4 linked regions of the Lonchura striata genome follow. The protein of the gene in region 1 purifies or fractionates together with the protein of each later gene. This does not show direct contact. Links are inferred from orthologs where the notes say so. Each region holds a gene or a part of one and is shown in the gene's direction. Other genes may lie near its edges. The genes, in order: FXR1, TDRD3, CEP63 and ORC2.

Region 1 (6,994 bases):
TGTAGAACAAAGAAAAGATACATAAAAATAAGCGAACTTGGGAGCAGGTAAGAAAATAACTCCTCCAAGAGTTTTGCTGAGTTGGAATGTGGTTTTGTCATTTGGTAAGACATAAGGCCAATATGATCTTATATCTTTCAGATATCTACCTGTGTTGTTTGTCTCCACTAAGAAGTAATGATGCATAATAATTTACAGAGCATGCTTCCTGTTTCTGCTAAGGTTGGAAGTCTGTGGATGGATGCCTCTCATAGTCATCAGCCTTCTGCCAAAATTTCAGAATGAGCAATGGAACCAAAAAGGTTTTTACCCACTTAAAGGTGAAGCTAGATTAATTTTTTATCATTATTTTGATTTTTATGGCATGAGTTGCTAAGTGTCAGCACTTCACTGAATGGAACGTAAGACACAGGTTGTTACATTGTAAGTGAGAGCACAAGTCTGAATTTAATTGACCTTAGGTTTTGCCTATATTTTTAAACAAAATATCCTAAGATAGGATAGTTCTGGTTTTTTATTTTACTGGAAGGTAAGAAATGTGCTCAGAAAAACAGAGAAATGCCCCTTTTTCTGTATCACAAAAGGCACTCAAGTTATTTGGCATCAAAATAACTGATAGTTTAAAACTACAACATTTTTTTCAAACAAATTTTCAGATTACTAGTAGCATAAGAGGAATATCAATGTGTGCATTTTTTCACAACTAATCTTACTTTAAGAGACCACTATTCTAAACAGTTATGTTGTTGATTTCAGTGTTGATTTCACTCTTGCCCAAGTCTTTGAAAATAGCTAAATTTTTTCCACTTTTGGCTGAGGTAAACATTAACAGAGTCTTATGTCAGAAGGTCCCTGAGTGACAATTCCATTGTGACCTTCAGTTACACAGATGATTCCATGAATTCTTGTATGAACTACAGCATATGCAATATTGATCCAAAGATTGATAATGATAGGAACCTAAAAAGGTTTTCTTAACTGGATAATAGCAGATTTTGGACAAAAAGTCACTATTTCAAAATATGAAAACTCTGCTATGATACTGTTTCACCATGAATTACATTTTCAATGGTTTATGGATTTTTCCTGTAGCCTCTCTAGTCTGTCCACATACTTCCTGAATTTTAGAAAATGGCATTTGGAAGGATAGGAGTGTGGGTTGATTGTTTATTTGTTGAAATCAATGCCTGCAAAATTTTCTCTCTTGAAAATTTGGTTTATATTGCTCATGCTATAGCAACATCATAAATGCTTTTTCCATCCTAAATAAAGTAGGCAGGAGTTACTAACTTCCATTAATTCATTCTGAAAGGCTGTTCCTGAAATTTCTTCAACATCCCACTGTAAACTTCTTTCCAGACTAAGTCGATTAATGGTCAGTCTATACCTTCTGGGAATTCCTTTTGCTAGTAATGTTTCTGTCTTTTACAGCCTCAGTCTCTCATGGATCATTATCCCTCTGTGTGCCTTGATGTATTTGAAGACAACATCAGAATCCTTCAGTGCTTAATCTCCACCCTTCATTTTGCTCACTCAAATAAGGGAATCCTTTTTCTGCTCTTTCCAACCAAGGGTCCCCAGGACCAGGATCCTGCAACTTCTGACTTAGTGTCCTTCTGGCATGATGCAGTTTGCTTTGCCTCCTGAGCTGTGGAGTTTTCAGAGAAGACAGAGAATGGTTCAACCAGTTACCCAAAATATCTCCTGGACCACATCAGCTCTAGGAAATGAAAGTGGCAGTTTCACTGTGGCTGTTGCAAAATGAAACAAAAAAATGAAACGAAAACGAAAGCTTACAAATTCTCATGAAAAAAAAAAAAAAGCCGCTATTATCAGAGGAATTCTTGAGTTCTTGAATCTGGATCCTCCCTTTTCTTATTTCAGCAATGTTTAAAGCAATTTAATTTAGTAGTCACTCATAATTTACATTCAGTGAAAACTAAACTTAGAACAGATTCATCATCTACCTTCTGGCTGATGTGCTGCAAATTATTATGGCCCACAACCTACTAAAGCCTTTTGCTATCCCCATTTAACCCAGGCACAGCAGTCTGCCTCAAAATTAACATGTAAACAACCCTGTCCCTTTAACCACTATCATCCTCACACTTCCAGAAAAACACACTTTATCAGGCAAATTCAGATGCAGATTGCATTAGCTCAAGCCAGTCTTCATTATCACTAAAGCCCAGAACTGTCCCCCAGTTCTGCAAATGTGGACTCCCAGACACCTCACACAGTTCTGGAGTAATTTGGGTTTTTTTACCATTTTACCACGTCTTTTTTTTTTTTTTTTTTTTTTTTTTCCTAAGGAGAGCAGCTCATGCTTAGTTTATTTTTGGTTTGTTTTTTTTATTAACTCCATACACCATTTTTTAGTAGTTGACGTTGAGACTCTGTGTCTTGGTAGCCAAAAAAATAAACCTCAGTCTATTCAATCTTGGGGCAATGAAAACCTTTGACATAGAATTTTATAGCACAATGCTTTGCTTCATATTATCTGGTTCCTTTATCCTGGAAAATCCTGAGTTGCCTCTGCTGCCAGGAAAGGAGGTACTTTTCAGAAGGACTCTCTTGCCCATGTGTGGCCTTGGCACCATGCACAGAATAAATCGTGGGTAATTTATAAATATTAGAACAAAATTTAGAATAAAAGGTATTCTCCAAAATTTATGTGGAATATTACTCAAGATTAGGAATATTCATGCACACAGCATGGGAAAAAACATTCATGCTGTTGGACCCATATCTTTCCTTCAGTTATGGCACATCAGGATCACAGAACCATAGAAACACTGAGGTTGGAAAAGACCTCCAAGAGTATCAGGTCCAGCCATCAACCCAGCACTGCCTTGCTCAGCACCAAACCATGTCCCCAGGTGCCACCACCCCACATTCTTTGACCATTTTGAGCATTTGCACCTCACCCAATAGCCACATTTCTCAACACTTTTTGGCCTTTTTTGTCCAAAATCCTTGCCCATCCGACAGACATGGTTACAACTGGCACAAAAGCAAGATTAACATGAAGAAACTAAAAATGAAAACATCTGATAGGTAAAATATCATCATGGACTCCTGGCCATTTGAGTCTGATGCCCAATGGGAAAGATGAGCAGAATGAGCATTTGAAAGCATTGCTATTGAAATGACTTTAGGCTGAGATTCAGATTAGATACCAGAAAAAAATGTCACGGTTGGGATAGTCAGGCATTGGAGTGGTGGTCCAAGGAGGTGGTCACCATCCCTGGAGGTGTTTAAGAGGTACTCGTATGTGGCGCTGAGTGATGTGGTTTAGGGGTTACAGTGGTAGTGCTGAGTTAATGGTTGAATTTCATCTTAAAGGCCTCTTCCAACCCAAATGAATCCATGGTTCTATATTTAAAGCAATTGCAAAAACACACGGATTTGACATAGGTACAGGCCGTTCATCAGGCTCTGCGTGACTAAGCTTATGCGAGCATCTAGCGCACAGCACAATTCGCTCCCCAGTGTGTTGTGAGGTCCGACACATCACAGGCAGCTTTTATTTTTGATTATTTCTGCCGGCAGCAGCGCACGGGGAAGGCGGGCAGGGCAGCCCGGGGGGGTGTGAGCAGGGCGGGGCAGGGCGGCGGCGCTCCGTGAGGGACAAAGCCGAGCCGGGCGCTGATGTCGGGCGGCACCGTGTGTGTTATCCGCCCCGGCAGCCCAAGGTGCCCGTCGGGCGCGGCCTTTCGAGCGGCGCTCACTGCGCAGCGCGGCCGCCCCGCATTGTCTCCGCACGCAGCGCCCGCCGCCCCCTCACGCGGCCGCGCCCGCGCCGCCCCTCAGCCCCGCGCCGGCGGGCGGGAAGATAACGGCGGGGAGCCCTTCCCGGGAGCCCTTCCCGGGAGCTTTCCCGCAGGGAGCGCCCGCTCGGCCGGCGCGGGGAGCCGTCCCCCCCGCTCCGGCGGTGCCGGGCCGGCCGGGGGAGCGGGCGGGGCCGGAGGCGCGGCCCGGCGGGCGGGCGGAGGGGGCGGGCGCCGCGCTCCCCCCGCGGTGACAGTTTCTAGAAGCTCGTCCCGGCGTCCTTTGCGGCCCCAACATGGAGGAGCTGACGGTGGAAGTGCGCGGCTCCAACGGGGCCTTCTACAAGGTACCGGCGGCGGGGGTGGCGCGGGCGGCTCCGCGCCCGGCGGGGCCGGGGCCGAAGGGCCGCGGGGGAGGGGGCGGTGAGCGGGGAAGGTGCGGGGGGAGCGGGGCCGGGGCCGCGGGGATGGAGCGGGGCGGCGGCGGGGGGGCGGCGGTGACGAGGCTGGTGCGGGCAGGGGAGGTTCGCGTGTGGGGAAGGCAGAGCGCTGGCGGGGCCGGGGGAGCGGATGCGCGGCGCGGGGATTCCCTGCGCCTTCCTTTCGGGAAGGGTGGGTGGGCGTGTGGGGGGATTGGTGTTGGAAGATGAAAGGGATTTTGGGTGGGCTGGGGTGAACCGGGGCGATAATAATGATTTTAAAAGAGTTAAAATAATTTTTTTTAAGGATTTCGAGTTTATTTATGCCTTCAGAAATCTTCCTTCACCATCACCCTCCCTGGAATGTCAGGATGGTACAGGATCAATGCAGAGTACTCTCAGCTGTTGTCTGTCAGTCATTTTCCCCTAAGCCTGGCTTCAGATGTTTAAGAATCCCAGCTCTTTTTATGGCACTAGGCTCCTGTCTTCCTCTCCAGGAGGGCTGATTCCAGCCAGTATTGTGAGCACGCAGCGTGGCTGTGTTCTGGGAGGATTTAATCTGGGGACTCTCTTTAGCTATTGTGCCTAACCACACGCACAGTGTGGCATTGCACAGGCAATACTGCACTTGGTGTGGGGCTGGCCCTTTCGATTCCCCTTCCCCCCTTCAGAATTTCCTGTGTGCAGCTGTGGATTTGGCTTGGGAATCATATGGTGACTGTACAGTATGTAGAGGCAGTTGGGTGTAAGGGATTGTAACCAGCTGACTTCAGGAGTTAGTTCTTTCAGCTGGTCAAGACAGATGGGAGATACCCTTATGAGGAAAGAATGCAGTGGCATAGACTACACCCCTAGTAGGGAACCCTCTGAATTTTTTACCAAAAGGAGTAGGTGATAAATTTTATACAGTGGATCATTTTTTTGTTGAACCTGAAGTATCACACAGAAACCTACATCAGAATCATTTGTGTCCAGAACAGGATGCTCCTCAATAGAATTGATTCCCCTCCCCCCCCCCCCCCCCCCCCCCCCCGAGCATTAAAAAGCCCAGAATTTGGAAACACTTTTCTTAGCTTTCCATTTTATACCTTGTGATCTTGGACAGCTTTCCAAATGATGAATCAGTTGCTCTTCTGCTTTAAAGGAATGTCAGACACATGGGAGTATGAGGTGTGATGAAATTTTGGACTGACGGGATCTGTGTGCACAGAATTTGCTACAATAAGCCTGATTTAAAATCTGCAAGGATGACATCTCTTAAATCAGAATGAATTATCAGCCTTGGATTAGCACCATCATGTGTTTTAGCCCTGTGAAGAGTGACTTAAAAAAGCAGAAGTTTTAATTAAAAATGGCATCATGACTTTGAGATCAGTGAAGTGGGAATGAAGTCCATTGATGAAGATAGTGGATGAAGGCAGATTAGAATGATTGGATGCACAGTGATCAAAATCCCAACTCAGAGTAATCCACTGTTAATGTGGAGGGGGGAAAACAACAACCCTCATAAAGACCCAGACCTGAACCAAAACATTCAAACAAACACAATTTAAAAAATTCTTATTGTGAGCTAAATGCAGTGAGGTGTGTATGTCAGTGACTCCATTTTGTGAATCTTACTCTTGAGGAAGGCAAGGTTTTGCATTTCTTTTGGGACTAGGTAACACTCCTAGGTCACTTGCTGTTTAAAGTGACCTAAAGCAAAGAGGTGTGTCAGTCTGTTTTAGGAAGTGTCCTATTTTGGGCACCAGTAGCTCTGATCATTGCAAGACAATGACAAGAGACTCATCTTTTCTAATCTGTGTGACATTCCAAGGAACGTGGCAAAAGTTTTCAGAAGAGAAAAAGCAGAATTTGTGAGATGGGATGAGATTTGAGGTTTGCCTTTAGAACAGCTTGAATTTGGATTAATTAGCACAGCATAACCCCAGGTAAATGAGATCAGAAAGATCCTGCTGTGTCAACAGAGAGAAAAAAAACCAAAATAATTATGTAAACAATATCATGACAGATTTTCTTTTAAGGAGTTGTTACTATGGTCTGCAGCTTAGCTGCAGTAGAACAAATGTAGTGGTTAAATCTGTTGGAGCATTCTGGTGGGTTTTCAGGACTTACTAGAAGTATGACTATGGTAAATGGTACTCTTTTATTATAAAGTTTCTTTAGTTCCACTAATAATTGCTCTTCAGTTTTAACAGGGGATTCTTCCTAAGTGCAGGAAGACCATACACTATAGTTGCAATACATTAGTACGGAAAATTAATATTCTTTATTAAAATTCATTCATCATAAAAAACATTTTGAGTTCTCATGTATTGGTGGGCAGTTATGGTAAATCCCAAGGTAATTAAAAAAAATTATAAGTGCATAGTATGATCTGATTTTAAACTTATGTATCTAAGTCACCAAACTAATTTGTGGTTTCTTGTTTTTTCCATTTGCTTTAAAGAAGCAAATCTGGAGAACAGGACATCATTTACTGTATATTTTATGCCAGGTTCTCAACCATTACACAGCAGAGCCAGTGTTTAGCCACTTCCTGCAGCTTGGAATATCATAATTTTGAGCACTCATTGTCTTTGGAGATCAGATGGCACTGATGGGGCTTGAAATGGTTGTGGGCTTCTGAAAAATGGGGGGGGGGGGGGGGGTGCTTGTGCTGTGGAACAGGAGAGAACAGACAGGGTTGCTGAAGTCTACTGATTATGGGTTTGCATATATTAAATGTGCTATGAGGGCTTCCTGAGGGTAGAAAAGTTAATGCTTTCTAGGTGAGAACTAGATGGCAGGAAAGTTTTTGTCTTG
Region 2 (7,546 bases), on another chromosome or scaffold:
GCTGGCCCACAAGGGGCCCTGAAAGCATCATAATTATATGGAATTACATTCTGCACTACTTAGTGATTCATCATACCCTAGTGATCATTGCAGTGGTTCATCTGCACTTTCAGGTCTGAACTGCTGAGATTTTGATAGGCAGCCATGCACAGAGCCAACAACAGCATCATCGTGCCATATATAAATGCCCCATCCTGACAGCCAGAGTGCCTCGCCGAGTGTGACGCTGTCTTTTTGACTGGCATAATGCCAGTGTGAACTATATCTTTAAGGTGCTTGACATACACTTAGTGATTTTCAGGACAAAGTGGGGAGTGTGGTCAAACTGAAGGGTTCCAGAAGAGGACAGTCAGGTGACAAATCAATTAGAGCAGCCTGACAAAAATGTTAGTCTTGGCCTTTAGTGAAAATTCTCTCTCCTTGCAACACCACCTTAACAACAGTCTGTGGCTATAGGTGATGGTATTATGCCCAAGACTTCATAATCCTTTACCATTTCCATGTAGGATACGTACTTGCTGTTTGTCTTTCCTCCATCCTGCTTCTTTCCAAGCCTCTCTCCTTCCTCTCCCCCATGAAGAAAATCTTTAGTTCTGTAAATCTCCCTTCTTCTTATTAGTCTGTGAAAAGTTAATCTCTTCTCTAGCTGCCATATAAGAAAGACTGTGTGCTGAGTACTGTCCTTCACATAAATCATACACAATATTTTAGCTGACATGCAACAATACAGGTAGAAAAGCTAATCCTTCTGACTGCAGTCAAATCAGTTTAGGACCCAGTCCATCACAGACCATGGAGAGGCCACCACTTTTGTTCAAACTCCAGCACACTCCTAGAAATAGTGACCAGAAAGAAAGGCCCTTTCCATTCAGTGCCCAGTAACTTTCAGCTCCAGATCCAGGATAAGGATAATCTGCTTTTATGTTCAGTAAGCAGACCTGTTCCCTTCAGATAACGCAATGAAGAAAGCATATTTTATGGAAGACAGAAATTGAGACCAAAACAGACTTGCTGCTGCTGTGGGGACCTCCTATTATACCTGGTATTCAGGGTCTTCATCCCAATGTTGGTGCTTTCAGCACATCAGGTAGGGATGAAAGATGCCATAACTCATGATGAGTGTTACAGGTTTCTGCTCTTGCTCATTTCTGGAAAGTGCGGTCAAAAGTTTCAGCTCCCCAGTTTTGTGAGCCTACTGTTAACCAAGAGAATTGAGCCTGGAACTGGCAGGAGATGAAGGGAGTAAGGATGAATCAATTCAATGAATCAAGGAGCCTACAGGGCTGCTTCAAAACCTGGCTCTTGCTGTCTTGTGCTGAGTGCTAGTTCTGTTAGAACTGTCTCACCAGAGGTGCTTGAGTAGACCAACCCTTTCAGGTATTTAAAATTACAGAACATTGTGAAATAACCTCTTTGGCACAGATTAAGCTGTCCTAGGGCACATGGGCAGCAGTCAAACAGAACTGCATTTTAGGCAGTTTGGACAGAAGAAGTCCATGTGAATTTTGTGGACAGTGATGCACTGATTCATCTGGAGCAACAAGCATTTTCCAGAGAAAGCTCTGAAGGCATAGAGCCCCTTACAGGAGTGCAGAAGTTTAGACTGGTCCCTGTACAGCCCCAGGTACTTTGGTGCTCATTACCTTCAGCAACGTCGCTTATTCTAAAGGTGATCGATACAGAGAATATACTCTAAGAACGTTTTATCACAAACAGCTGGTACTGAGGGTCTTAGCTGCAGGTTTCTGACTGTCTGGCAGGCACTGCATCACCTTTTGTTTTACAGTGGAACTAATTGCTCACCTCGGTTCAGCACAGCCAGCAGCAGCTACAAACTACAAAGCTCAGGCAGTGCCCTCTGTGAGCAGAGAAACATCCACTAATGGGGACTTCTCCTGTACAAAAGGAGGCACATGTGAATACATACACAAACACATCTCAGCTTGCATATAATTAATTTGTTAGAGCAGATGCCTGCAGACCTTTAAGAAGCATATACATTTTCTTTATAATAGATGGTGTTTAGTGCCATGAGGTGCAACAGCTAGCCCTATGCCAGCATAAACTGCTGGTATAATTGCCTGGTGACTTTAATGAAGATTTAAGTAAGCAAAACCTTCCATGTCTTAAACTAACACTAGGCAATGCAAAAGGTCTGTAATTCTCATTATCTTCTCCTAGGTCATACTCCATCCCTTACTAATTGGCTCTATGGGCATCCCATTTTGAGTTACAATATTTACAACCTTATCTTGATAATCTAATGTGCAGACAGGTCAGACTCCAAATGCAAGTTCTTTTTATTCCCATTTCTTTTGCATCATAAGTTCTGAACTGAAACCACACTTATCTGCTAGTGCTTTTCCATGTCAGTGGCTGTTACTGCTGCAACATGGGTGTGACTTGGCCACTGACATTTCAGTGTGACTCTTCTGCTTTAGGGTATTCCTCGTCACTAATTCAAGAGTTTCTTTTGTACAGACATACAGTAGGTCTGTTTCGGGGCTCTTGGGTGGGCTAGTTCTCTTCTAGTTCTATTCCTTTTGCAGCTTATGAGCGTATGCTCACCTGGAGCCTTGTCATGACATAGGACTGCACAACCTCTGATAATCCACTTTCCCAAATAATAATGCTCCCTCTGCTATTTTTTTGTGGTTATTTAATGACCACAAGGATTAACACTTTCCTATGGCTACATTCATTATTTTGAGATTTTGTTGGCAGAAATCCCATGTTAGTCTTCCATTTTTAAGCTGCCTTTTTTTTTAAATTTTATTTTAGGTTTATGTTAATGCTCATGACCAAGAAAGCTTCAAGAATATATATAGCATTATGCATTGTTCAGTTGAATAATATAGGTTTTATTTCCTTCATCTGTGTCAAGATTTATTATCAATTATCAACTTATAGATATACGTGTTTTCTTAAAATTAGCATCTACACAGGCCACACCATACCTACTTATGACAAAATTTTTGTCCTAGAGTACATAACCTATAGACACAAAAGAAAATACCATGAATGAGCAGCACAGAGTGTTGTGTGCAAAAATCCTGAGTGATTTGTACTCAGTATGGCAAAGAGAGGTTTTCAGGTAGATCAAACAATGAAACCAAAGAAGACTCAAAAAAACCCTCAACAAAAGCAAATTAAGCTTTGGCTTGAAGATGCTGCATAAAAATTGAAACATCTTGAGGGTGAAAATAACCCATAAAGAAAAGACCACCTTTAATAGACAAACACAGCAGATAGACAAGTTTCAAAACCTCAGTGCTGAAAAAAAACCATTTGGCATTGATGGGTTACAGAAGTAGCTGGACATGATGCACTAATGCAAATGGTCAGTGTTTTCTGCAGAGCAGCTGACCTCACCTGCAGGCAGAAACCCTGAGCACCCAGGCCTTGATAAGCATTTTCTTAACTCCTGACCTGCCCATGTTCACCTTCTGGCTCTTTCTCTGGATGCTGGAACACAGAGTAAACAGGGCGACGGTGTTCCCACCTCACATATCACTGGCACCGGAGGGCACTGGGCACTTGTAACAGCAATGATGAAAGAGTGCTATTCTGTTAAAGTATAATTCCCTTTAAAAATACACATAAAACCCTCCCAAAATATTCATATCGGTGCCCAGCATTTTAGGGCAAATCATTAAAGAAAACAACGCAAACAACAAATTGCCAAAAATAAAAGAAACATAGAACCAGTCTTTCAAAAAGAATTATTAATGTTGCGAAAGACCATTAACAATGAGCCCAACCATTAAGGAGCACTGCCAAGTCTACCACTAAACCATGCCCCTAAGCGCCACATTACAGCTTTTCTGAATACTTGCACGGACAGGAATCCCACCACTTCCCTGGGCAGCCTTTCCAATGCTTCACTCTTTCTGTGAATAAGTTTTTCCTAAAAAGCTTTCTTTTAGGAAAAATAGGAGGTTTAGACATCTAAACCTCCTGTGGCACAACTTGAGGCCATTTCCTGGCCATTTGCATTCATCCTACCATTTGTCACTTGGTAGAAGAGGCCGACCCCCACCTGGCTACGAGCTCCTTTCACGAAGCTGTCAAGAGCGAGAAGGTGTTCCCGAGCCTCCTCCTCTCCAGGCCAAACATTCCCAGCTCCCGCAGCTGCTCCTCATCTGACGTGTGCTCCAGACCCTTCTAAAAATCCCTCCTCGCCCGCAGCACGCGTTTGAGGGCCCGAAGGAGAGCCTTTTCCAGAACAACGCTACTGTCAATAATGCTATCCATAGCCGGAACGCGTTTAAGCAAGCCCTTCCGACACTGCACGGCGGCAGGAGCCAGCCGCCGGAGCGGGGCCGGCGCTCCCCGGCCGCGCTGCCCTCACTGCTTCCCTTCCCCGCCATGGCGGCAGCGGCTTCCAAGCAGCCGCCGGTCGCGGGCTTTGTTCGTCTCTGCCTGCGCCGCCCCCGCCCCTTCCTTCCCTCCGCTCCCTCCCTCTCCCCTTCCCTCCCTCCCTCCCCTGGCCGGCCCGAGCGCCCGGAGAGGCCCGCGGGGCGAGGGAACGAGCGGGCCCCGCGTCCCTCCTCCCCTGCGAGCGAGTGCCGGGGGTCTCCGCAGCGCCCGCGGCCCCGAGTGCGGCGGGGGAGGCGCCATGGCCGAGCGGGCGCGGGCGGCGCTCTCCGAGTCGGGCTGGTAAGTGGGGCCGAGCTCGGCCGCGCCGCCGCCTCCGCCCGGGGTGCGGGGCGGGCAGCGCCCGTGTCCGAGCCGTGCGGTGCGGGGGATGTCCCGCCCCAGCTCCGCTGGGAGCCCCTCGGCGCCGGGCAGGGGCTGCGCCGCCCGCTGCGCTCGGGCCTGGCGCTGGCTCGCCCTGGAGAGCAGCTCCCGGCCCGTCCCGCCGGCCCTGCCGCGAGGACCGGCACCCCTACCCCGCGGCCACCCCCGAGGTTCCTCGGGATCGGCGGCGGCCTCCCCGCCTGCCCCGGGACTGGCCTCGCCCGCAGGCCTGGCGCCTGCCCGTACTGCTGGGGCTGTAAACTGCACCGTGCGCCCCTTCTGTAAGGCAGGCAAGAAGCAAAAGTGGAGTTAAGGTGGGGTAAATGAACCACACGTGAGGCTTGAACTCGGTTGCTTATGTTTTCTTAAGAGTCCCAGTCGCTGGGCACACAATATCCATTTTGGAACAACGTGTTTCAACGAGTTGTGCTTTTCAAATACCTACTGTAAACGCTTATTTGCTAGCCTACAGCTGAGATTGCATTGTAGGAAGTTTTTATTTTGATTTGGGGCTTTTTTGTTTGTTTGTTTGATTATTTTGTTGAAGTGATTCACTTATTAGTCAATACTGACTTTTTCCCATAACTACTTGGAAAGTCTTTCGACAAACCTAAAGTTTAGTGCTGCCTGCTAAAGCACAAAGCAATGTACGCAAAGTTATTTCCAACGGCATGTTTGAGATATTTCTGGTTTACTGTTTACATTAGTGGTTGTCCTAGATTGTGGTTTCATGTACGGTCTAAGATGGAAAAAGTTAAAGTGGGTATCCTGTGATTTAGAATAGAACAAGACAATTTACTTAGAAGGGACCTATGATGATCATCTAGTCAAGTCACTTGATGAATTCAGGGCTGACCAAATCTTGGTATGTTATTAAGGACACTGGCCAAATTCCTCTTAAACATTTGACTGCCACCCTAGGAAACCTCTTCCAGTGTTTGATTATGCCCTCAGTATAAAGAAATGCTTCCTTATATCCAATTTGAACGCTCTCTGGCACAGCTCTGAACCATCCCCATTCATCTGGTCACTAGATCCAGGCAGAATCTGTCTTTGCTTCCCCCACTCAGGAGGCTGTAGAAAGCGGTTTGCCCCTCAGCCTCCTGTTCTCCTATCGAGACAAGCCAAAGTCTTCAGCTGCTCCTCACAGGACATGCCACCAGCTTTGTTGCCCTCCTCCACATTTAAGGACCTTCATGTAGCTTTCCAGTTTTTTGCACAGTAGTCCAGGTAAGGCCCCACCAGTGCTGAATAAGTGGGAATCACCTCCTTTAACCCCCTGGTGATGCTGTGTTTGTTGGGCCAGCTTTTGCTACTTTGTGGTAATAGTAACCAAACAGAGTAATTAGGTGTCCTTTGCTATGCCTCTTGAATAAGTGTATCAAGAGCCAAAACATTGTTCTAAATGGTTCTGGAGAGCACAGTCCTATGACTCCTGGCTATTGCCAAATTGATACAATCAAAACTAGTTCTGCTACTTTTTATAACATTTGCTTATTTGACGGGAATTTTGGACTGTGACTTGAAACTTGCCCCTCTACTCTTCTGTTATGTAGACCTCTCCAAAATTGGAAAAGTTTTACATAAAAGTAGTTTTATTTTCTTAGTTTTCTTTTCTTGCTTTCTATTGCCTATTCAAAATTTTTTCCCAGTTTTCAGCTCTTGAGTTGTTTTGCTGCCTTTTCAGCTGAATGCATGCCATTGCTTAATGGCTTTCAAGTTTTTGGCAGTACAAATATGAGGTGCCTCTGAAACAATCTGTCCCTTTGCAGTGTTTGCTGCCCTCCTTGGTGGCAGAGACTTTTGAATGGCTGTCAACAGTTGTTACTCTTGCAGTCCTGTAGGGTGGGAGCCAGAGGCTGAAGTTGAAGGGGCAAGTAATGGGCTCATTATCAGGTCCACTGGAATTATGCCTTGACCAGGTTGTATTGGGAAAGGTAGTATAAAAGGGGAGGAATTAATACATATACTTTTGAGGAATGTGAAGTGGAGTGGAAAAATAAATAATGATTTGGAAATCTTGCTTAGCTGTGTTCATGCACTTAAAAAAAGAGTAGTAACCTGAGCACCCATGCTTCTAACTGCTTTGCTGTTGCTCTTATGATTTTTCTCATATTATTAGATCTTAGAGTTATTTACACATCTGTGAGTGAGCCTTCAGTGATGTTTAATGTCGGTTTAGTGTTGGTGATTAAGTAAAGTTTTGTACCAAATTGGTGGTTACTGCTGCTGTCACCTGCTGTCAGAATGATAATATTTCTAGTACAAAAGAAAAACTGAGTTTATGTGTTAAAATCTATCCCCACTTAAACTGCAAAAGCACTGCATGGCATGTCAAGTAAAAAATCTTTGCTTAGCTTAAAATCTGCTAGCTTGTAAAAATCTACCTGTACTGTGGATTTTACAGTAAGTTTCTTATACATTACAGAATTAGAGAGTTAAGGTAGACACTTGTTTATTTCAGTTTCTGCAACTAGTGTTTACCTTTTATAATTCTGAATGAAAAATAAAGTTATTTTTCAAGTAGAACAGTAATAAAGTGTAGTTAATACTGAACAGTAATTATAGATCTATTCCCCTCCCCCAAGCAGGTATTGTCAGAGTAATCTGTTATAAAATTGTCTCTGAATTTGTAATGTTTGCCTTCAGTATATCAATTACATTTTTTGTCAGCTTCTGAAAGGTAAAGGAGCCCTACCTAGTAAACATAACAGTGGTAGGTAAAGCTGGGAGACATTTTTTTCTTTTTATGATGATGGTGGTATTTTATGAAAATGAGTAAAAGGCTCCTGTAGTTTGTGTGCGG
Region 3 (7,583 bases), about 14 Mb from region 1:
TCTCACCTCTACCAGTAATCCTAAACTCTGTCAAAATATTTTTCCTTAGCAAGAAGTTCTGCCAATGGTGACATGGAATTGGTCCAACAGTGGAACATGAAGAACAGAAGGCTTTTACCTGTTGCAAAAGACATCTGAGAATCAGAGATAAAATAAGGTCCTTGAGGGCCTTGCCTTTCATCTCAATACAAAAAGAGGTAACAATTTGTTGCCTGAAGCTAAGCCCTACTGATTTCTTTTCCCCATCACGTTTTTTTGATTTTCATTTCCCATCTGAGGTTGCTCATGTGAGTGGCTCGCACATCAAGAGGCCCTACACTAGGACGGGCAGGTTCTTCCTTGGAACTCTCAACCATCCCTTGGAAGACCCTGATTTTGAGTAACCACCATTTCAGCATAAATTAGACTGTCTGTTCACTGTACACACTGGCAGACATTCCCAGGATGTCAGCATTGGAAATGCTGTCCACCACCACCATCAGATCCTGAGAGCAGGAATTTGAGTGCTTACAGGTTACTTCCCACTCTTGATTCTGCTGACCAACCTTTCACATCTGCCCCACACATCCACAAATTTGTTAAAGATGGCAACAACTCACAGCTATTTGGGTTTTGTACACTGAACTCTAGACAATAATCCCACTGAGAACTTCGAAATCAATTGCAATTTGAGACAGTAAAAACTTTTTAATCGTGTAGAAAACATTTAAGATCAGAATTGGCACCAACTTAAGAACAATTTAACAGAAAACATGAAATAATCTTATAAGCATGAAACATTTTGCACTTGGCTCTGAGATGTCAGAGCCTCTGCTATTTCACATTCAAGAAAGAAGCATTTTAAAGAAGCATTGTGAGCAGAACCACTGTTGGAATCTGAAAATCTGGAATGCTGTTTCCTCCTTAGGGCAGCTTATGACAGCAATGGTCAGCCAAAAAAATATTTTTATGTTGCATTCATGCATCCACTGTTAGAAATCCCACTGATTCACTAATTTCCTGTGGGTGGAACGTTTTCATGGAGATACTGGAGAGCCAAATCTGTCCACTTCATTTCTTGCTCTTTCACAGACTCAGTGGTGCCACCGTTGTCTTGCTCTGGTTCAGGGAGCTCATTCTGAGAACAAAACACAGGTAGAATGCATTCCACATGTAATACACTTTCTGCAAGCAGCAGGTTGTTATGATTAGTATGGATAGATACAAAACCCACAAACGAGACCAGAGGGTGCATCTGAACAATAAATATCATACATACTGATCCACTTAAAAATATTGCTGAGCCGCATCATGAACAGTATTCTTTTCATTTGAATATGGTTATTCTTTTAATTTGAATATTCATTTGAATGTGTTTAATCTGAAAGGTAAATTGTTTTCCAGGACCCTGGGGCCTTGCTATACACTCAGACTGCACACACAGTGAGGGAGAATATACAGCAAATGCAAAGTAAGTAAATAACAGTACAATGCATTTATTCCACTGTTTGTTTGCAATGTGCTGTTTCTGCTGTTGCCAAGAATACAAATACTGCAGACAAATGGTTCTGTAAAATGTTACTTTCTTATGGCAGGTTAGAAGTCCTTCCTGTCTGTATGCTGGAGTCAGGTGTAGCTGTGCTGGATCAACAGCAGAAGCCAGAACCCCCTGCCAGGTGTGCCCCAGAGCTGCTCACAGCACAGTAAAGGGAAGGAAAGTTTAACAGATTTCATTTTACTTCCTTCTATTATTTGTTCTCTGTCTTGCTGTATTGGTGTAGTCACACTGAGTGTGTGCTATTCTGCCAGATACCATTTGGGCAGGAATTCTGAGTTCTAGAATTTAGAGTTCTAGAATTTCCTCTGGAAATCCCAGCTGGAGCTAGATAAAGTGTTTCAGCTTTGAAAACAATGAATGATTTGAACACATCTGAGTTCCCAGAAATGGCTTGATTAAGCACTGGAGCAGATTCTCAGGACAGGCTCAAATACCACTTTCACAGCCATTCTGGTGCTCCTTTGCAATGTCCCTGAGTAAGTCCCCTGTGAATTCATGCTGTTTTCTCTATGTGATCAGAGCCAATCCCATCTCTGGGGATCTTTATATCCACAGCCAGGCCTTTCTATTGGTAGTTGGTGAGGCTTCCTTCTCTGAGGCTGTCATTGTATGTGACTGTAAGCCATCACGAGATGGCTCTAAGGGAAGAAACAATAATGTTTGGACTCAGGGTAAAGGCAATTGTCAACAAGGAACCTGTTTATGATACTCGGCTTGCCTAATAAAGGCAAAGGAGGGTTTGTGCTCTTTTAGCTGAGAATCACGCTTCTGCAAGATGCTTCCCTCAAGCCCAACTCTTGGCAGGAAAATGTGTGCTGTACATATGGACTTTGAGTTGTGCAGCTGCTCCTCGCCCTCTCTGAAAAGCCAGTGGTGGCAGGGCTGACGCTTGAACCATGCCACAAATTTGGAGATGTCTCTCTGCTGAAAGAAACCCCACAATCCCCACGGCTGCTTTATGTGAGCTAGCTGGGGTAAAGCTCGTGTACCAGAGAGAAAAAGGGAAAATCCTCAGCTACCTCTAACTTCCCTGTAAGTTTCAAAATAGCCAAGGAAAGGTGTCAGTGTGGGAGATCTGAAGCTTTAGCTCTGGGCTCTGTGGGATCAGCAGTAGCTTTTCCCCTGCTGCCCCTCTCTGACTTTGCAGCTGTACCCTGGATGAAAAGAGAGGTGCCATGCCTTGGACACATCACCACAGGCAAGAGTCCTGCTGCACCTGCCAGTCCTTCACTGCTGTCCCGGAACTTCCAACAGCAACACTGAATCTGGAAAAGACTGCTTTGAAACACTTACGAAAATGTCTCAGCTTCTTTTAATGGCATTGCAGGAAGCAGATATAAAGTGTAACCAAGACTGGAACTGTATGTGAGACTGATCCTCTGCTCTCCCAACAACCAGGAAAGTACCTCAAACACCAGGAACAAGAAAGGGAAGCAGAGAAAAAGGATGATTCTACTTCTCCCTGATGCCAAACCTAGGAGAGTGCAATGGGAAAGGAACTCCAGTTCTGAGAGGATTCAGCAACTGGTCAGGGGACAAGCAACAGAAGCATCCATGTCCTCATGCACTCAGGAATGACTGGCATATAGGGCACAGAAGGAGTCCCTTCCGTGAGAGACTGGATCTTCCGTGGAGATCCAGGAGCCTCTTGTACAAATTAGCCGCACCACGAGGAACATTCTGTGCCTTTTCTTGGAAGGGACTGTGATGAACGCAGCAGCCTTAACTCAGATTGATAAGTAGCAATTCACCTACCAGAGGGATGGCCACATCCTCGTAGGGCAATTTATCTTCCCTCCACGCATCATCGATCAGATCCAGGATCCTGCCATCCCTCTGCACCTCGCTGTCCATCGTCACAGCGGCGAGAGCAGCTAAATCTGTGACACAAAGCAGATGCTGTTTTAGCAACATCCCCAGCCAAGGAGCTGGAGTCTGGACTATTGGCTTGCTCCAGTTTTGATGAAATCCATATGAAATTTAAACTTACAAGGATACCTTGATTTCCCTAATCCACACAAAAAAGGGTTATAACCACATAGAACAACTTCATCTGAAAAGAACTCTATCAAAGTGAATTGCAGACTGATATGCACTGGAAATTAATATATAAAACCAGATGGTTATTACTGATATTTACATGTATTTTATATCTACTGACTGACTTTTAGAAGTCTAATTTGAGTGAGTTTGAGCACCTAGAGCTGCTCAGAAGCCTTTGCTGGCTGCTGGCTTACAGCTCCTGAGCAGTGACGTGCCTCACCTGTCTGGGAGAGTCACAACAAAGGACTTCAGGGTACCCAGAATTCTGCCCGAACCTGAAGTGCAGGAAACCGGTGAAAGAGAAGCAAAACGAGACCCATCTTTCACCCGCATCTCCTATAATTACTCCAGACTGTTTAACTGTACTCTGCCCTCCTTGAAGGATCACCTCAGGCCCTCGCCCCGGTGTGATGCTGCGGGGCGGCAGCAGCAGGCAGCCCGACCCTGGCGGGTGTGAGAGAACGGGCACTCGTTCAAAACCGAGCCAGGCCTGGCACTCGCCGGCTGCCGGAGCCGCGATGTGGGCGGCGATGGGCACGGGGCTGAGCGCACCCCAGCCCCGGCGCGCTGCGCTCCCTGCCTCTCCCGGCCAGCACGGCTCCGTGTTCCGCGGTGTCCCAGGGCTGTGTCCCAGGGCTGTGTCCCAGGGTTGGGTTGTGTCCCCGCGGTGTCCCAGGGCTGTGTCCCAGGGTTGTGTCCCAGGGTTGGGTTGTGTCCCCGCGGTGTCCCAGGGCTGTGTCCCAGGGTTGGGTTGTGTCCCAGGGCTGTGTCCCAGGGTTGGGTTGTGTCCCAGGGCTGTGTCCCAGGGTTGTGTCCCAGGGTTGGGTTGTGTCCCCGCGGTGTCCCAGGGCTGTGTCCCAGGGTTGGGTTGTGTCCCAGGGCTGTATCCCAGGGTTGTGCCCCCCTGTCCCCGCGCTCCCCAGCCCGCCCTACCCTGCCCATCTCCGCGGCCGCTGTTGCGCAGGCGCGGCCCCAGCGCATGCGCAGCGCTGCCGGGGCGGGGCCGGGCCGTGCCCGCTGCCAGGGTGGGAAAGGCGGGAAGGAGGGAGGGAGGAAGAAGGAACGGAAGAAGGAAGGGAGGAGGGCGGCTCGGCCAGCCAGCGCCGGGGTGTCGGGCAGCCCGCAGCGGAGCTCCCCGGGGCGCGGCGCCGGAGGGGCTCGGGCAGCGGAGCTGTGCCGCGGCGGGCGCGGGGCAGGCGCTGTGAGGGCTCGGCTGCGGCTGGGAGCAGCGGCGGGAGCGGGGAGTGCCGGCCGGGCCCGCTGGCCCCGGCCGCTGCACGGACCTAAGCGGCACCAGGGCCGGACATTAGGAGCAATTCCTTCACAGAACGGGTGATTAGATACTGGAAAGGGCTGCCCAGGGCGGCGGCGGCGGCGTCCCCATCCCTGGAGGTGTTTAAGGAAAAGACTGCACGCGGCACTCGGTGCTCTGGGCTGGGTGACAGAGTGGGGATCGGTCACAAGATTGGACTTGATGGTCTCAGAGGACTTTTCCGAGCTCAGTGACTCTGAGATTCTCGCCCTGGCGAGGGCTGGTTCACTTCGGGCTCCTGCCGCAGGTGCCGTTCCTGCCGCTGGCAAGCGGAGCTCGCCCGTGGTATTGCTTTTGGGAGCTCCTTTTGTGTTCATTGTAAGCATGCTTCCAGCAACGCTTTAAGATTGCATCTTTCTGTGTTTCTAAGTGCGAAGTAATCCCAGTCTTGTCGCATGGGCACTATTCTTAAGTCCTCCTGTGTATTGTAAAGTTCTCTCCACTTCACTCTGCTACAGTTCTGCCTTGAGCTGGAATGCTAAACCTTTTTTATTTTTAAATGTGTTGTCTTGTTTTGGACTTTTTTTTTTTTTTTTTCAAATACTTCACATTTCTTCACTTTCAGAGGTGATCAGCCAGCTTTCCTTCCTTCAACTGTAGTTAATGAAGGAGATTGTTTCCTCTTCTGGGTCTTTACTCAGGTTCCTGTAACTTGCACGTTGCAACTTGCAAGCATGAGAGGCCAAAATGTAATACTAAGTCAGCAAACTGTACGTAGCATAGAACTGGCTAGAGGTGTCTGATTTTAAGGCTTTTCCCCAAAATCTGGCTATGCCAACTGTGGCTGTGCCTCCCATGGGAGCGTCCAAGGCCAGGTTGGACAGGGCTTGGAGCAACCTGGGATAGTGAAAGGTGCCCCTGCCCATGGCAGCAGTTTAGCATGAGATGGCTTTAAGATCCCTTCCAACCCAAACTGTTCTGGAATTCTATGCTGTCTGTCTCCTCATCTCTCTGCCCACTGAAAATTGATTCTGTGTAGGTGTGATTAGAATGAAAGAGGAGAGCTGCTACTGTCTAATGTCTGCTGTGGCCACCTGGAGAGCTCTTGGAATGCTGTCAGCAGCTCAGGGGATCTGCTCATCTGCTCTCCTCAGCACCCTGCCCTCAGCAGAACCACAAAGTTGTTCTGCATACTGATTGAGTTTTGTTACAGCACCAAAGACAGATGAAACAGTGTCAGAATAGGAATAGGATTTTTCTCTGTGCATTTTTTATATGGCTGTGGTTTAAAACACTGCTCCCAAGGACAGGTTTTAATCTCTGAGTTGTGTTTTTAAGTGCTGTAGGAGCACGATAGAAGATTCTTTGGGAAAGAGAATGAAGCTGAGCCTGCATTTGTCAAAGTCTCCCTTGCTGTGACCTGTTCCCCTTTTGCTGATTGCTTAATAATGTTATATTAATCTTTGAGGAAAGATGGTGGAAGAATTAATCTTCAGTACTTGGAAAATGTGTAGATTTTGGAAACAGAAATTTGTGTTAATAGCTCTGGACAAGTTAACCATTTTTATGTTAGCTGCAGTTTCATGAAGGAGATATTGAAATAAATTCTGGCTTCCTGGCTCTGGTTGCGTGGAAAATTTTTATTCCCCATTTTTGGCTTTAATGTAAACTCTTCTCACTTTCACCACAATATGAAATTTCTTTGGGTATGCATGTGTTTGTTACTTAAAAGGTGAATTTTTAACTGAAGCAATGTACTGCTACTATAAAGCTGTTCAACTTATTTTCATAATTTAAGAGGAAATTTTAAGGAATTTATGTTTTCTTAAAATTCCCACAACTGTATGAAGAGCCAGTGTGTTCTGAATGCTGTGGTAAACTACATGGTCTCTTTAAGCTAGTCTATAATAGAGGCCTGGAAAATATGTAATTTATGGATGAATTCTTACTGCTACTTGCTGGTGTTTTCTCTCTGAAGTGACAAACTTTGAAATCCAAATGTTCCTGTTTCTCCACATGCTGGTGCTCCCAGTAGATCTACCAGTCCTTCTGTTGAGTTCACACAAGTGCAGAGTCTAATTGCTGCTCTCTGAATTTATTAGATCACATGATTATATCACTTCAATTTGGTAGTGTTGGATGATAGCATTGGGTATATTTTTCTGATAGAAAAATCTGTTTTCCTCTGTTTGGCTTGTAAGTTCATGAAGGTGCCATTGTTTTCCTCACCTGTAATTCCATATTCTTTGTATGCTTTTTGACTTCTGTGCTTTTTGGGCTTCCACTTTTCCTGCAGTTGGATGGAGAAGCAGCCTGGTTTGTGCATTACCATGGGTGACCACTGCTTTCCTGTACTTCCCTAGTACTGAAGCCACCAGGATTCAGTGATGGAGGCTTTGCTGGAAGGAATGCAAAGAAATGGGCAGGGGAGGTATGTATGCAACTGTACACAGCAGTCATTCCAAATGATTTAAGTGTTAACCTTGCCTCTTATTCAGAATAAATCCTCTGGTGTAAGTGTGCAGTGGCCCTCAGCTGCTGCAGAAGCGAAGTCACTGGGGGAGCTGGCTCTGTGCTAAACCCTGCTTATAGTCTTAATTGTCAGAAATTTAGTTGTACATCTTCCTGAAACCTCAGCCTCTTTTTCTCAGTTGTTGTTGTAAACTATTCTTACTGTCCAACATCAGGAGCAGTAGTAAATAGAGTTGTGAATAAATATTTATTTTGTAACAGCCTCGCAAGGTTAATGAG
Region 4 (7,491 bases), on another chromosome or scaffold:
TTCTGATGTATACATATACTTCAGTAGGGAAAAATGACATTTCCTTCATGCACATCACAATATGCTGCCATTTTGCAACTCATTTTTTTGGACTTTGTAATTTTAAGAAAATACAAATGTTGGGATTGTGAACTCTAGCTTGATCATCCTTTTCAGGGATTTATTGTGAGCAGCTTTTTGGTTGAATGGTTTTTTAAAGGTGAACCATATTTTCATCTGGTAGAGAGCAAAGTGATGAAGTAAAAATACCTATTGAAATTAATGTTGCAAGATGATTGTTTAAATTTCTGTATTATCCTTTTAGTTTTTGTTTGGAAAAATGTCATAAAATGGATACTTGTGTATCACTGTCCATTTTAAATGCGGATTTCTTTGAACACCCTTTCTGATGTGAATTCGAAAGTTTTTTAACAGCATACTTCATTCTGTAATGCTGAACATCATGTTGCAGCCAGTAAGCATTAGATCTAGTATTTGTAGTTTGCAAGTGTGTTGGTCTAGAATGCATTTCCAACATACTCCTGCTAGCTTTAACATAATTAAAGTCATCAAAATAGTGAGGAAAAAAATGTTTTCTGATAAAGTATTTATTTGCACTACTTATGAATACTGGAGTTTACTGGGACAGGGTTTTTTCTCACCATGTGAGGTTTACTTGTGTGTGAGTAGGTACATACATTTGTCACGTGTTGACAATCAATTGCCTCAACTGTGTGTATACTGTATGTAAATAGGAACGTATTTTTCAAGATTAAGGGGGAAACCTACATCTTAGTGGTGGTAAAGCTACTCTGCAGTAAGGTGACCCCAACTCTGCTTTTTGTCTTCAAGATACTATGTGGTTTGTTTTACTTCTTTAATGAAGTTTATTAGTCTTCTTAGAAAATTGTAGCTCCAGGGAAATTTTCCTCAATATTTAATGTATAACATGTTCAGAGAATTATATTTTGAAAAATTAATTTTGGAATAGATAATTCTATGCTATGGCTGTATTTTAACCTAAGAGTTTGAACGTGTCCTATTTTATCATGAACCAATGGCTATCTCCTCTTTGTTCAGAATTTTAACTTTGATTGCAAACCAGACATTTTTGTTTATCTTGGCTTACAAATTCAAATTAATTTGAAGACTAAGAATCAATAATAACTTTTTGAATAAAATCATAAAAACCAAGCTGTATAGTATAGGTACTGTGCTTGTAATCCTAGAGGAGGGGGGGAAACTATAATGGAATATGTTTGAATGAAATGTATGTACTGCACACAAAAAAATTACTTTGATGTTAGTAGATCTAATAATCTCATTCTTAAATTCTTTCACTGCCAAAGATATTGCTACCTTGGCATGTTTAATATAACATTAAAGCCATCAGCTAGGTGTCATTTGTAACAAGCATTTGTATCATAGGACTACTTTTCATCAGAAGAGTACATGTACCTCTTTTATTTCAGTTTCTTGTTTAGGATAATTGCAGGACTAAAGCTGCAAAATATCACTTCTTATCAAGCATGCTAAGCAAACAAGCCAGATCCTCTGTACTTGCATCACATTATTGATTTATATGATTTTTTTATATTTTGTATTAACTTCAGTATTTTAAATGCTATTTGTTTCTAGCCTATGGGCCTTAATCTCTGTTCATTATTTTTGTTTTTTCCTCACTGGCAATTGGATAAACTTTGATGTTGAAAGGTTTTCTGTAGCTGATTCAGGGTAGTAAATCATGACATGGGTGTTGTGTTAGTGAATACATGTATCAGTCTGTCAAAATTTCTGTCATGACCAGCTGAAGAGACAAAATACTTACCTGCCTCTTCCACAGTGGTGGAAGATGATGGTGAGCTGTGAGCAACTTGGTTTGTTCATGAAAACAATAAGCAGATTTTGCAAGACTGATACTTATGAGGTTCTCCACATAGTAATTATGAAATTTTATTTATAATAAATCTTGGAACAAGATTGTAAAACAGCAGCCAACCATTTTAGATAAACTTGCCTAGTAAGTTTGTCAAGTGTCAAGGCCTGCGATATTAAAAATTCAGAAGAAAGCTGTGCAAGTCTTAAGGGTACCTTACAGCTTCAGAAAAGGATTTAGTAAAAATCTGTCCCATTTTAATCCATCTGTATTTGAGATTTAATGAAAAAAATACAATTTTGCTTCCATCCTTTTCCTTATTTTTTTCTAGGCTATACCTCTCCTTGAATTTTAATTGTGTTCATCAGATTTTACCAAAGGTAGTATCTGAGGGACCAACTGAATTAAAAATGGGTCCATAAATTATCCCTTCTATTATAAAGGGATTCCTAAGGTTTTCTGGTGAGGAGCTGTTGATGGGACAGATGTATAGTAAAGCTTTGTATCTGTACAGTAAAACATTGCCTATATTTTAGCTTGTGCATGATGAGCAGAGTGATGAGATCAAGTTTTATTGAGCAGCCTCTTGGTTGTGAGCTCCCAGTGTTTTACAGTCTGTAAGATCCAAGCGGTTTTAAAGAAGACTGTCTTTGCATTCTGATGCAACTTTTAAATGAGTGATTAATAATCTATTCAGGAGTCAAAATTTAAATTGCTTTAAAATGTGGTTTAGAATTCTCACAGGTTTTGATTTTAGAGGGTAAAATGGTCGGGGGAGATTTCTGTTTAGAAGTATCTGCTGGTAAAATGTCTCTATGGTGCTTTGTCATGGAAACTTCCTTACAAATCAGTAGTTAATCCTATGTGTTTGAGTCCTCATCCTCCCCAGAACTGATCATGAAACAGAAAAAAGTAGAGCAACCATTTACCTTTAGTTCTAGAACTAGTACTTGGGAGTAACAGAAATACTGGCTATTGACACTGTTCTTTCTGTTCAGACAGTTACTGTGGTTGTGCTAGAATTTCATGTTATTAGTTTATGAAAAATGCAAGTAGTAAAAACTTTGTGGCTTCAAGTATACAGTAGATGTGAGTTAACAATCACTCAGGATAAATCAACATGTCAAAATATTAATAGATTCCTAGTACTCTGGGGTGTGTGGTGTGTGTGTGTGTCAGTGTTCAATGATTACTTCTGTTTTCTTGCACATAGTACATACTTTAGGGGTGGGTATTACTAGGCTGGTTATTTATGGACAAATACCATATGATTAAATAAAACAGAGTAATTTAACACTTTTTTCATATTGAAGATTCCAGGAAAAAGCTAATAAAGATTTTTAATAATCAGCTACTCTTAATACATTATAGATTTACTATGGTAGTTTTTATTTGCTATTAGACGACCCCAACAACTAAATGGATATATACCCCATGCTGCATTTTTAAAATTTGTAATTCCTGTACTTGACAATGAGTTTTTTGATCTGTTTTTGTCCTTGTAAGAATACAGGACTTGCTCTCAGTTTTACTAGCAAAAAGAAACATTCTGCAAGGGTTAAAGGATTATTTTCTTACTTTTTTCATCATACCAGGTTTGTTTCTCTGAACTAAGGTTTCTGAGGATTTTTACTACTTTAGCATTATTTAATCTCATGGAAGGAGCATAAGCAGCACGTAGCCCACTTCTTGTGGACACACAGGCTGGGCAAAAGGACATGGATGGGTGGTGTGAGCCCCTCTTGACCAGCATAGCCTTGCTTGCTGGTATGAGCCCCAGACGTTCGAGATTCGGTACTGGTGAAGGACTAAATCAAACAGGTTTTTAATAACCATGACCTCTGCTGTATGATGTCCTTTAACCTGGGGACCAGGGAAAGTCTTCATTCTTAGTCCTGAAGAAGGCACGTATTGAAGATCATCTTCTTGGTGCATGTAAGCCATTATCTTAACTGTCTTACTGAGCTGGTTCATGCTGTTGACTTGTTGAAATGTGAAATGTAGTTACTATTGACTTTGTAAATATCTGCCAGAGAAGAAATATAATTATTTTAAATCATTGTAAATAGAGATGTATAAAACTCGACACAATCTGCAATGCAGAAAAAATTATATATATATATAAATATATAAAGATGTTAAATAAATATCGTGCTGTTTCTGAACAGAAATGAATACTTTGTGAATTACTGGTTTTTAGAGGTGTGACTCGGGCCGGTGAGGCGGGGCGGGCCGCGGCCGGGAGGGGAGTTCTCCCCGGGCGGCCGCGAGGGGGCACCCGCCGCTGCTCGGAACGGGCTGGCGGCGGCTTCGCGTCGCCACAGCGACCCGAGCACGAGCCCGGGGCGCGCGCGTGCCCGGCGGCGGAAGTCCCGCCCTGCGGCCGAGGCGGGCTGGGAGCGGGGCGCGGGTTCGCCGTCGCCACAGGTCACTCAAGGCGCGGCGCCCGGGTTGGCCGCCTCGGGGACGGCCACTGGCTGGCACGGGAGCCCGGTTCCGCCTCCTGCTGCTGCCGCCTCTGCCGGGGGCACGGGTCGCGGGCGGGACGGCGGTCCCGCAGGAGCGGCACCGTGAGGGGTGAGGGGTAAGCGGGGCCGGTCCGCGGCCGGTCCGCACCCCCCCGGCGGCAGCGCCCCCCGGCGGCGGGGCCGCGCCCACGTGACGGGAGCCGCCATGAGCCGGCCCGAGGGGATGCGCAGCAGCCGCCACTCCCTGCAGGTGAAGTTCGTGCCCGACGAGGACGTCCTCAAGCACATCTCCGACGACGCAGGTACAGCCGGCCCGGGGCATAGCCCAGCCCAGCGCCGCCGCTGCTCCTAGGGCGCTGGGGGAGGGATCCGAGCAGCCGCGGCTGCCCTCGGGAAAGGGGCTCTGCAACACCCGAGCCGAGTTCTGCAGAGCCTCGCGGAAGGACGAGGCCTCTGGAGTCGTTCTGCCTCGCTTGACTCCCGCCCTCAGAGTCTGTCCCAGCCCGGCACTGGGGCGCGCTGCAGGCGGGGCGTGTACGAGCGCTCGGTACGAGATCTCCCCGCAGCAGCGTGTACCGGGCCAGCGGCACAGGGAGCCGGGAAGCTCCTCGGGCCTGACGCGGTTAAACACTCGCAGTCAAAGCGGAGTGAGGCTGCATGTGTATGCCATAGCAGGGTTTTGCAGCAGTTCTGACTATTAAGGTGGGGAACTTCTGTGGAGATGCTTAAAATTTGCCAGTACAAGGCACGGAGCATCTCTTTCAGACTCCACTGCTGGTCCTGCTTTGAGGAGAAGGTCATGCAGATGTCCAGGGGGCTCTCAGCCTACATTCTCCCATGAGTGCCCTGGCAGCCTACAGGCAAAGTATTTTCCAGTTGCTCCTCTTCTCTAGAAAGAAATAAGGGTTAACAAGTACCATCCCCTTTGCATGCAATTTGATACTGTAATTCGTGAGCCACTGTCATTTCTCCTATTCCTCTCTGTAGAGCTAGTGTTTGTGAAAATGGGTGTCTTACCTTCATGGACTGCATTTGTGGTGAAGGCTATAGGGTCAGCTATTGACCAGCTGTTATTTTATCAGGGCATCTCAGCATTGAATTTGTTGGGTGATTTTCATAACAGGAACCTGGTCTCTTAAGTCAGGTGGCTGTGTACTGCTGCGATAGAAATAATGAAATGGCAGGAGGTTAAAGCTTTTTTTTTTTGCAATTCTAGGAACTAAAGTGCGGAAGGAGAAGGCTCAGCTGAGTGTCAGTGTGAAGAGATTTGTGAAGAAGCTTGAGAATATTTCTGATAATGAAGCTCAGGAGATCTTGGAAGAGAAGAACTATGTTGCTGCTCTTGGAATATGTGCCCAAGGTATTAGCAGGAGAAGACCTAACACAGCTCTGACTTTAGGAGATTCCTACAGTTAGGGTTATACAGTGTTGGTGAAATTGCTTTTGAGGGCTCAACCTGCTCTGTGTGTGCTTGTGGTAACAGGTAGAAGAGAATATTATGATTCTAGTATTTTATTATTATACTTGTTTTGTATCACCTGCAATATAAAGCCAAATAGTGAAATGTTTAATTCCATCTTTCTTGGGTTGGGAATGTTATCAGTGGTTTTAAAATAGCTGCGAGTAACATGTCTTTTCACAGATCCAGTGGGAAATGGCTCAAATATAAGTGGTGGTGAAGTTTACTCATTCCAGACTCCCAAACGCTCCAATAAAATGGCAGAGCTGGGTATGTTTCGCTCTTCTTTCTCTGCAGACTTAGGAGAAGCAAGCAGAAAGAGGCAGTTACAGAGAAGGTGGACTGTTTTGGTTCAAATAAGGTGCTTGAGCAGGGTTGTCACTTACATGAAGAGTCCTTGTACGTCCAGCACCATCTGAACTTCATTAGTGTTTATTTGTCACAGCTAATGATACATTCTACAAAGGATGATCTGAAGGAGAGGGATCGTCCTACTGAATCACTATTCAGAAACTGGTTTTGGTGCCTCTTAGTTACTGCTGTGTCTTGGGAAGTTGTGTCTCCTATCTTAGACCTCCTTCTGCAGCAGGGTGGATTTCACTGGTGCTCCCTGCTGGAGCTATGAATCAATTTGAAAACTGAGGGAAGTCATACTATGACAGCCTGTTAGTCCCAGTGCTGTTACATGGAATAGGCTGTTGGTCATACAGTGGTAGGGGCCATTAGCAGGGTGTTTCAGATTCACATCAATCATTCAACTTCAGCTTGTACTGATAAGGAGTAGACACAGGTAAATAGTTCCTCCTAGGGAGCTGATGTGTTTACTGCATCTGAAGATCTGTTATATGCAGCTGAGCAGTCCAAAAGAACTAAGTGAGCTTGACCAAACCTTGCTCTAATTCAAGGACATGTGGTCTCCCAGGGAGCAAAATGTGCTCTGCCATCAGCCATATTTGTAAACTTAATTAATTGGTGAGTTCAGCCTTTGAAAATCTTTTCGGAGGAATACAGCCACCTTTAGGGTTAGAAAAATCTAAAAGTATTTGGTTCCTTAAATAGCCAGGGAATTAATATGGAGAGAGCATTTCAGGGTGTGGCTCCATTTCTGACTAGCCAGAGCTGGAAGTTTTGTACCTGACATGTCCTTCCTTCCCTTCCCCCTATTTCCTACAGCCTCTGAATTAGCCCGGACACCAGAACAGAATGTGTCACCTGATCACTCCAAGTGCCCTGAGAAGATGGCCAAAACCCCTCAAAACAGCAGTAAGTCCTGTGATGGTTTGGGAATGAAGCTGAGTGAGTGGGGGTTATGTTTCTCTTTGCATGGTGGAGTGGATGCTTGAGTTCCAGCTTCTCTCATGCTTAAGTATTCTAGTTAAAGCCAGGGCTTAAGTATTCAGGTTAACACCATGGGCTGAACAGTTTGATGTGCATGACCTGTGCTTCACCTGCGTGTCAGATGTCTTCTTCTGCCTTGCTGCTATAGGGGAAACATGAACATCTCTCTCATCTGTTGCTGTGACATTTAATGACTTCCTCTCTATTCAATAGAAATACTTGCACTTGAGAGAGTTATGAGCTGGGCTGGTGTGTTAAACACTGATTGGGTAGGACTGTGTGGGTGTTCATGTGTAAATTCATACTTTATTGTATAATATTTAACACCTAGTGCTGCAGGGAGAAATACAGGTAGGAGAAGTCAATGCAGG

Evidence for each region.
Region 2: the proteins of FXR1 (region 1) and TDRD3 purify together in Homo sapiens (affinity purification with mass spectrometry; 3 studies listed by BioGRID and IntAct, with this or other methods). This does not show direct contact. The link is inferred for Lonchura striata from reciprocal best matches to the Homo sapiens genes FXR1 and TDRD3.
Region 3: the proteins of FXR1 (region 1) and CEP63 purify together in Homo sapiens (co-immunoprecipitation; 3 studies listed by BioGRID and IntAct, with this or other methods). This does not show direct contact. The link is inferred for Lonchura striata from reciprocal best matches to the Homo sapiens genes FXR1 and CEP63.
Region 4: the proteins of FXR1 (region 1) and ORC2 purify together in Homo sapiens (affinity purification with mass spectrometry; 4 studies listed by BioGRID and IntAct, with this or other methods). This does not show direct contact. The link is inferred for Lonchura striata from reciprocal best matches to the Homo sapiens genes FXR1 and ORC2.

The regions. Positions count from the first base shown.
Region 1 is NC_134612.1:19,947,584-19,954,577, reverse strand, and holds the start of FXR1 (RNA-binding protein FXR1), read left to right. Parts: upstream 1-3,986; 5' UTR 3,987-4,066; coding exon 4,067-4,117; intron 4,118-6,994. UniProt on the Homo sapiens protein: mRNA-binding protein that acts as a regulator of mRNAs translation and/or stability, and which is required for various processes, such as neurogenesis, muscle development and spermatogenesis.
Region 2 is NC_134604.1:55,890,676-55,898,221, reverse strand, and holds the start of TDRD3 (tudor domain-containing protein 3), read left to right. Parts: upstream 1-4,527; 5' UTR 4,528-4,618; coding exon 4,619-4,659; intron 4,660-7,546. UniProt on the Homo sapiens protein: Scaffolding protein that specifically recognizes and binds dimethylarginine-containing proteins. Plays a role in the regulation of translation of target mRNAs by binding Arg/Gly-rich motifs (GAR) in dimethylarginine-containing proteins.
Region 3 is NC_134612.1:6,433,717-6,441,299, reverse strand, and holds the start of CEP63 (centrosomal protein of 63 kDa), read left to right. Parts: upstream 1-4,573; 5' UTR 4,574-4,605; intron 4,606-4,843; exon of another isoform or gene 4,844-5,210; intron 5,211-7,128; 5' UTR 7,129-7,219; coding exon 7,220-7,263; intron 7,264-7,583. Other genes in the region: ANAPC13 (anaphase-promoting complex subunit 13), read right to left, coding at 992-1,117, 3,293-3,391. UniProt on the Homo sapiens protein: Required for normal spindle assembly.
Region 4 is NC_134610.1:27,162,025-27,169,515, forward strand, and holds the start of ORC2 (origin recognition complex subunit 2), read left to right. Parts: upstream 1-4,485; 5' UTR 4,486-4,528; coding exon 4,529-4,625; intron 4,626-5,539; coding exon 5,540-5,683; intron 5,684-5,965; coding exon 5,966-6,052; intron 6,053-6,955; coding exon 6,956-7,045; intron 7,046-7,491. UniProt on the Homo sapiens protein: Component of the origin recognition complex (ORC) that binds origins of replication. DNA-binding is ATP-dependent. The specific DNA sequences that define origins of replication have not been identified yet.